2 linked regions of the Coturnix japonica genome follow. The protein of the gene in region 2 purifies or fractionates together with the protein of the main gene of each other region. This does not show direct contact. Links are inferred from orthologs where the notes say so. Each region holds a gene or a part of one and is shown on either strand. Other genes may lie near its edges. The genes, in order: CDC42BPB and LURAP1.

Region 1 (3,807 bases), on a different chromosome or scaffold from region 2:
GAAGCATGAGATTAAATATACACGCAAAACATCACCACTGCACGTGGGCCATAGCAAAATATACAGGAGTGTGTTGTGCATTTTTCTACATGATCAATACTTGATTAATAATCATGGGGTCTTCATGCAGATGAGGATATAGTTAATGAGAAAAGCAGCACCCCCAGTTACGCATCCTTCACGTTCCACTTTGGTAACCAAGAAACCAGATTGACGTGTTAGTGTGAGTCCCTTCGCTCTGGCAGACATCAAGGGCAATGCGCCTACAAGGAGGCCTGCCAGCTTAACAACGCAGTGTGCCCTTACACCAAACAACGCAGTGTGCCCTTACACCAAAAAGCCCGGGAGAAACAGCCTCTCAGAAGGAGATAGGCAGGAATGATGAGTAAAGTTCTCTTCACAGCAGTAATGATCAATATTTTAAAAGCCCTGACTAATGACTGGGACTGACAAGGACTAAAGCGGGGTGTGGGTAAGAGATAACCGGTAGTAGTCCTATGTACAAGACTAAAAAGTTGGTAGAAAGATAGAAAGACTGTTACGCAGCTGAATATGTAATGGCTAAATGAATTACAAGGCCACAAGACTATAGCCAACCTTTACTTGACATCCTGGTGATACTACTGATGTTGGGAACAACCAACAGCTTCCTAGCATTCTCCTTAAGAATTAGGAAACAAACCATTACGGGACAAAGGGAGTAGCATATTTTGTTTCTGAGGATGTAACTAGACTGCTTGCATTTCCTATCCAGAGCTCCAAATCGTGTCTAAAAGGATTTCCTGCTAATGAGATATTACATAATTCTATAGAAAAATAATATTCCTGATACTGTAGCAACATTATCAGTATCTCTCTCTATTTCTTTCTCTGCGTAAGAATAACAATATTTACTGGTGGCCTTAAATGCTCCTATGCAATAAAACTGTGTCACAGCTGTGCAGAAAGGAATCAACCGTAACCGAGCAGTGAACAATCCTGCATAAAAAGCTCCATTACTATTTAGTAAAGAATTTTCTTCATTTCAATAGTTTGTATCTACAATCTGGATATATAATTACTCTTGTACAACACTAGAGATTCGGTGTCAGTCTTGGCACTAGCATCGGAGACAGCTTTGCCCTGCTCTTGAGTATTCCATAGAGCAGTGGGTGACCGAAGCCAGAACGGTGTGAGCGGTAGCGTTATGCGTCGCAGGTCGACTGGTCCAGTCCATCTAATGTGAGCTGATTCCTATGAGGAGAGTTGGGGCTTGGGGGACCACTGGGGTTTGAGCTGTTGGATGGAGTAGAGTGTTTGGTGGAGTCTGAATCAGGCTGTTAATGAGAAACATCAACAAATTACACTTAATATCGGTTTCTTGCACTCAAAAGCTTTCAAGATGCTCAAAAAATAAAGGAGAGCAACACTCACCACGTAGCATATATTACATTTCATAGCTAAACATTGATGCAAATACTTTTATTATCTTTAACAGGCTCTCATGCAGTTCTTCTGATACAACATGAAGTATGGCAAAGTGTGGAAATTGCCATACCCCAGGCTCCTCTACTTCAGCCACTGCAAAGCCTCCTTGATAAAACACATCCACCTGTTCATTGTTACTCCGTGTTCATCAACCTAAGCTTTTAAAGCCATTTTTATAGCCAAGGAATAGGTTTATCTGTCCATATAAACAATTACAGTGAAATCATCCTCAGTTTGGTGAGAAGGAAGGAAACGAGCACACAAACAGTTTACAAAACAGCGCCAGCAACAAAGACAAGCATGTGCAATGCCTGACAAAAGAGTGGAGGTTGCCAAGTACCAGGCCGGACGGAGGTCCAGAAACAGAATATACTTACTGGAGCTGCCCTACGTCAGTATCTAACACAGACAGGCTATTCAGTTACTTCCCCAGCGTTAGACTGGTTGTTGGATATCTGGCTTCACAGGCTGGTCTCACTTCAACAGGATGGCTGGCAAGTTTCCCTCTATTTTGGTGAGCTACAACTGTGAGCATTGCACAAATTCACAGCTTACAAAATACTGCACAGGAAACACTGGTACTATGGCAGCTTTTTTCTCAAGAAAGGGAATAGCTATTTTGTAAATGGATTGAAAGGTAACATCCTACAAGGATTTAGGGACACCACTCTGCTCCAGACCTTTTCAGACTGGTGACTACTGGCACGTAATTTCACAGTGGCTAAAAACAGCTTTACACGTTTTAAGATTTGATTCCTTTTCAAGTTACAAGACAAAAAGTTTTCCTTAAGGCAGAGCAGGAAACTATTTAACTAAGTAATACTTCTTTGCTCTTCTATGCTAATAGCCCAGAGAACATTTCTTGGAGCTTTGAGGACATTTCATCAATTAGACAAAATTGCCTCGTCTACAAAGCTTAATCCAGGACACAATATGTCCTAAAATATCGCTATAAAAAGATTCTCAGCTTTGCTTCAGCGCTGCTGTATCCAACATACAATCAGATTGTGTTGCGTGCTAGAGAAAACATCTGCAGAAAGAAAATATCTCCACAAAGAACACAGTCTTCATGAAGTATTTTCCAAGATAATTAATTTACTGGAAGAAGAAAACAATCCACAGCAACAGAACGTTGTCACTCCCCATTTAATAACAGCTCCTTTACCTCTTTGTCAAACTCCTGGTCAGGATCGGACATACTTCGGGAAGGCATGGCTCCCCCCCCTTCACTGCCACCTGTAGAGAAGGAAGGAAAAACATCAGTTTTATGTCTCTTGTTGAAGCCACAAACAAGACCTTAGAACTGAAAAGCTTGCTTCCAGCCTTACTTGATGAGGGCCACGAAATATAGGTTTTGCTTCTCTGCTGCTGTTGCTGCCGTGAGAGGTTAGCTGTAGATGGACATGTTTTTTCATCCTGTGCAGCAGGTAAGACGCTCTGCAGTTGAAATGAAACACTTTGTTAGCCAGCAATGGAAGCTATCCAACTAGAGGATGTTAAACGTGACAATTCTGCTGTGCTTTTGAAGCTATTACAACTCGGTGTTGGTAGAAAAACTCTGAACTTACTTGACCACATCCACATATTTTCAGTAACAGACACAAACCCTGAGAAAGACAGAGAAAGAACTAAGCCCCATTGCAGCCATTGGAACCTGTCAGCCAGCAAACCCTCTATGACAGGGCACTGACTGTGCCAATAGCTCTGCTTCCTTCCTCCTCTTGCTGAAGGGATGAATGCATTATCCTTACAGAAGCTAGTGAAGGACAAACAAAACTCTGACTAGTAGCTATAAAATGGAGGGGACAGAGTCTCAGAAGTGTACCTCTGCACCTTGCTCTTGGAGATTTAGCTATCAAATAGCTCACACTGCTGTATACGTTAAATGCAGACCAAAAAATAATGCTGCAATCTTACATGTGCTTTAGTTATCTTACAAAGCACTCATTCCTCCCCACCCTTTTTTTTCTCTGCAATAGTCCAAATGGCACAAGCACACTGTTCTTGTTTCTGACAGTGTGAAGGTACTCCCACCCTTGCTAGGGAAGCAGAGGATGAACAGGAAGAGGAAGAAAGCAGAGGGGAGCCTTGCAGTGAGGAATGGTCACTCTGGAAAAGGATTTCAGAGGACACAGGGCTTGTGAAAGACATGCTCCAAGCCTGCTGGAGGTGATATCAGACCAGAATGCAGAGAGGATGAGGGGAAGGAAATTCATTCTGTTATTTTAAGGTGACACACACAAAAAAAGAAGGAAGGAGGAGAGACTGATTATTTACATAACTACTAACAAGCTTCCAGCAATGGTATCTACTTCCCTCAGTGTCTCCTTCTTAAGTCAG
Region 2 (4,346 bases):
GAGGCTGTCTGACTGCCCGCCAGGCTGTACTGGCTGCTGGCCAGGCTGCTGCAGCGGCTGGTCAATGTGCTCTTCTCCTCCAGCAGCCATTTCACCGCCTCGATGCCCTCGTTGACTGCCACCAGCTGCTGCAGGATCTTCACGTCCACTGCGCGCAGGTATGCCTGGTGGGGAGACAGAAAGCGTGGCTCAGCGAGATGGATGTGCTGTGCCTTCCATCCCAGGAGAACCCCAAGTCTCAGCTGGATAAAGAAAGGGTAAGGCGGGGACATGGGGACGTGCTGCCCACCTCCAGCTCCAGGTTCCCACTGGGAACAACGTGTCCCCTTCCTTCCCCTTCCCCTTCAGTCCTATCTGAGACTTGCAGGCAACACCATCAGGGACATACAGCATTCACACAGCCATCCCCAACTACAGCCACCCCCACAGGAACAGGGACAAGGGAATAGATGCAGGCACTGGGTCCAGATCTGAGCCCAGACATACTCCCAGACCCTGGTGGCACTGAGCAGGGATGCAGTAGGACAACCCCCAGAGTAAGGTCCAGTCCCACCTCTGTATTGTGAGCACTTCCCAAGTGATTCCAGATCTCCTCCATGCATTCAGAGACCATAGGACAATGGTCCTTTCCCCCATAGAACAGAAACATCATGGAAGTCTTTGAAGCCCAAGACCCCAGTCACACCCAAAGCTCCCAGCTAGAAGGTGAGAAAAAAACAGAGGTGGCACAAAGTGCCCGTCCTGCTTGAGCCCATCCTGGAGCAATCCTGGACAGGGGCTGGAGTCCCCATCGCCACTCCCTCCCTGCACAGCCAGTTCCTGCCCTGCAAGGCCGGGAGAAGCTCTCTGCAGAACCGCAGCTGCTGCACAAACATCTGTTTTCCTAATGGAAAGCTCAGCGTGCCAAGACATTCCTGTCTGTATGATGCTCGCCGCTGAAAGCCACTGGATTTCCCCTGCACAGGAGGAAAATATTTCACCAGTAAAGGGAACAAAAGGGCAGTGGGAGAAGGGAGAAAAAAAACACACAGTGGGACAGGTACAGGTGAGGGGAGATGAGGGGGCAGCCCATCGGCTGCTGTGGGCACCATATCTCCAAACACAACCCAAGCTGCATGCAGCACTCGTGCTTTGGGAGCTCACAGAACGCAGCTCTGAGCATCACTCCAGCCAAGCCCAATGGGAAATGGCAGCATCCCCTCAACAGGTCTCCGAGGAACCCCGTCTGCATCTCACAGCAGGCACCAGGACAAGGCCACTGGGAGGAGGATGGAGCATGGGAAAGTTCTGTCAAGGTCTTGGCACGGGACGCCTCTTGAGTCAGAGGGTACAGAGAAAATGGGCAGATACTTGCAGGGATCTGAAAACAAACCTCCCTGACCCTCCTCAAAGCCACCAGGCTGGACTGAAAAAAAAAAAAAAAAAGATGGGAGAGCTGCTGACAGCCCAGATTGGGGCAGCAGCCAGCTCTGAGCTGCAGAAACTTCCTTTCTAGGCAAGCTATTTCACAAACTGCTCCAGCAGGCTTCTCCACACGTTCCAATGGAGCACTGGCCCTGGCACGGAGGGAGTCTGGGACCTCCTGACACTGTCTCCAGGCCCTGAGCAGTGCCATTTTTCCCCAGCACATGGAGTGGTGCTGCCAGAGGGTAGGGAAGGAGCAAGGTTCCAGATTCAGATGTTAGGGGCTGGGTGCTGATGGGAACACACTACCTGCTTTTAGTTCCCATTGCTGGAAAGTGTCATTTGCACATCTCCTCCCCACAAAGTATCTTTCCCAGAGAGACCCACCAGGGCTCCCTGTTCTCAGGGCACCACATTATGCCTCAGTTTCCCTGTTCCATCCCATCCTCCCAGCACTGCAGTCTCCTATCTCTGCTCAGCACCCATTGGCACCTTTTTTCCCTTGGAGACTGCCAGTTTTGGAATAACGGGGTGAAAAGATGAGCTAAAGTGTCAGGGGACAAAGCTGGAGTCGAGATTTTCACCTTCACAACAACTCTGCCCATCTCCTTCATCCCCCAAGGGCACTAAAGGCTCTTTGCCCTGCACGGGGGCAGAATCCACTCCCCCGCCCCATTCATGCTTCCCTCCTTCCCGCAGAGAGGAATTTGCCCCCAGGGACACAATATCCTCCCTCGCTCAGGGAAAGCGAGTGGGAACGCGCTGTCCCCTCCCCGTGCCGCCCACGCGGGGCGAAGCGCCGTTGCATTAATGGGGTTGCGCGGAGCCGGGTGCGGTGCCGTGCCACATTTCGGGTCCTAATGGCATTTTAACCCCAATGTTACATCGGTCACAGTTCAAAGTCAGGGCCCAAAGGTGCGGGGCAGGCGGCCTTCCTCCTCCTCTCCCTTCCTCCTCCTCCCAGCAGCCCGAGCTCCGCACCTTCCTTCCGCGGTCAGAGTGCGGGATGGAGGCGACACGGGGACAGCACACGGCCAAGGACGGGCCCCCACCCCGCAGCCGCAGTGAGGCGGTTTCCCTATGGAAACGCCGCGTTCGGTGCCCGCGCGTGGGAGAGGAGAGAGGAGAGAGGAGAGAGGAGAGAGGAGAGAGGAGAGGAGCAACCCGCGGCTCCCGGGGGCGAGCGGCGATGCGGAGATCCGGAGAGCCCCGGGACGGCCCCGTACCCCCACCCCCGGCACTCACCAGCTCCAAGCGGAGCGCACGGAGGCGATCGGCGAGCGGCGGGCGGGCACCGCGAACCGGAGCCGGCAGCGGGGACGGCGGGGAGGGGGCGGGCTCGGAGCGGAGCCCCCTTAACAGCCCGGCGGGGGGGCGGCGGCCCACCTTGCCCAGCAGCTCCCGCAGGTCCGCGGGCAGCGCATCCCCACCGCCCTCCATGCGGGTGGGGCGGCGGCACCGCGCGGGAGGAGGCGGCGGAGCTGTCACCACGGACACGCCCCCTGCGCTTTAACCACGCCCCCTGCGCTCTGGCCACGCCACCTCCCCCGGTGGCGCAGTGGTAGGAATGCCGCCTTGCAACACTGGAGTCCGGGTTCGAATCCCCCCTGTGGCACAAGTCTAGAAGTGCCGCTCTGCTACACAGAGGCTCGAATCCCGGGGGTTGGACTCGATGATCTCTAAGGTCCCTTCCAACCCGCACCAGACTGTGATACTATGAGACTATGAGACTATGAGACTGTGATACCTCCTCCCGGCCCCGCCCCCTGCCCACGTACCAGCGGAGTCCTCCAGGCAGCGCAGAGCGCCGTCAGGTGGGCGGGGTTAAAGGAATTCACGCCCCCTCGCGTCTCTGCGGCGCCGGAAGCGGCGCGGCCCCGCTGCTGCTGAGGGGCTGCGGCGGCGCCCGGCCGGGCTGGGCCCTGCCCCGCTCCGCTCACCGCCCGCCGGCCTCACTGTGAGTAGCGCGGTCGGAGCCACGCTGAGCTCTGTGTCCGCCCCGACGTCCTCCCCGTGTGTCCCCCCGTGTCCCCCGTTCCTTCGGCCTCCTCTTCCCTCTGGCTGTGTGGGGGAGGCCCGGCCTTACCGCAGGGCCACGTCCCGGCCCCAGTGTCCCGCTATGTACCTGTGGGCTTTGCAGCAGCACGGTCCTTTCTGGGCCTTGTCCTCCTTATGGGGTCTTCCAGCACAGCCTCGTGTCCCTGTGGGGCTGGTGGGGAGGGTTTGCTCACTCTTCAGTTTCATGCAGCTTTCGTGTTGTGTCCTCGTTCACAGCCACCCCTGGTGACACGCTCTGGCTGTGCTCTACACCTCGCCTTGTATCCACCCCATCTGGACAGGGTGCCCCGATGGACACACAAGAGGAGCTGAGCGCATCCTGACCCTCACCCCATGCAGCCCTTGTGACTATGGACGAGTGGAAGCACAACCCCATCATCAAGCCCCACAAGAAGAGGAGCTGGTACCTGGCCTGGAAGTACAAGCTGATGAACCAGCGGGCGCTGAGGAAGCTGTGCCAGGTGATTCATTCGCCAGCCTGGGGTGGATTAGAGAGGATAATCTGGGGTTTACGAGCTTATGGAGCAGATGTGGGGGTGGAGGTGGGTCTGCTTGGAGTCCTATGTGACCTAATATGTCGGGGATGTATAACATGTCCCTAGAAGAGCCATCTCACTAGCTTTGTGCTTGTGTGTGGAGTATTCTGCCATATCTACCAGCTCCTTCTATTTGCAAATGGACTGGTTATGACTGGAGATACACTTATGCAGGCTTTCCTGGGAGGCTTTCAGATGAAAGTATGGCCGTGCTATGTGCATCAGGACTCTGCCTGCAGTTAGGGACCATCCATGGCAAATATGATTTGCAAACCAAGCCTGGTGTAAGGCACAGTAGGTGCTCAGAGAAAATAGGCTGAGGAGTGGGATCTTGTGCCCCAGAGGCAG

The links.
Region 1: the proteins of LURAP1 (region 2) and CDC42BPB purify together in Homo sapiens (co-immunoprecipitation; 3 studies listed by BioGRID and IntAct, with this or other methods). This does not show direct contact. The link is inferred for Coturnix japonica from reciprocal best matches to the Homo sapiens genes LURAP1 and CDC42BPB.

What each region holds. Positions count from the first base shown.
Region 1 is NC_029520.1:45,406,552-45,410,358, forward strand, and holds part of CDC42BPB (serine/threonine-protein kinase MRCK beta), read right to left. Parts: intron 2,905-3,807; coding exon 2,796-2,904; intron 2,704-2,795; coding exon 2,633-2,703; intron 1,317-2,632; coding exon 1,185-1,316; 3' UTR 1-1,184. UniProt on the Homo sapiens protein: Serine/threonine-protein kinase which is an important downstream effector of CDC42 and plays a role in the regulation of cytoskeleton reorganization and cell migration. Regulates actin cytoskeletal reorganization via phosphorylation of PPP1R12C and MYL9/MLC2.
Region 2 is NC_029523.1:19,084,947-19,089,292, reverse strand, and holds the start of LURAP1 (leucine rich adaptor protein 1), read right to left. Parts: upstream 2,900-4,346; 5' UTR 2,845-2,899; coding exon 2,650-2,844; intron 165-2,649; coding exon 1-164. Other genes in the region: POMGNT1 (protein O-linked-mannose beta-1,2-N-acetylglucosaminyltransferase 1), read left to right, coding at 3,813-3,923. UniProt on the Homo sapiens protein: Acts as an activator of the canonical NF-kappa-B pathway and drive the production of pro-inflammatory cytokines. Promotes the antigen (Ag)-presenting and priming function of dendritic cells via the canonical NF-kappa-B pathway.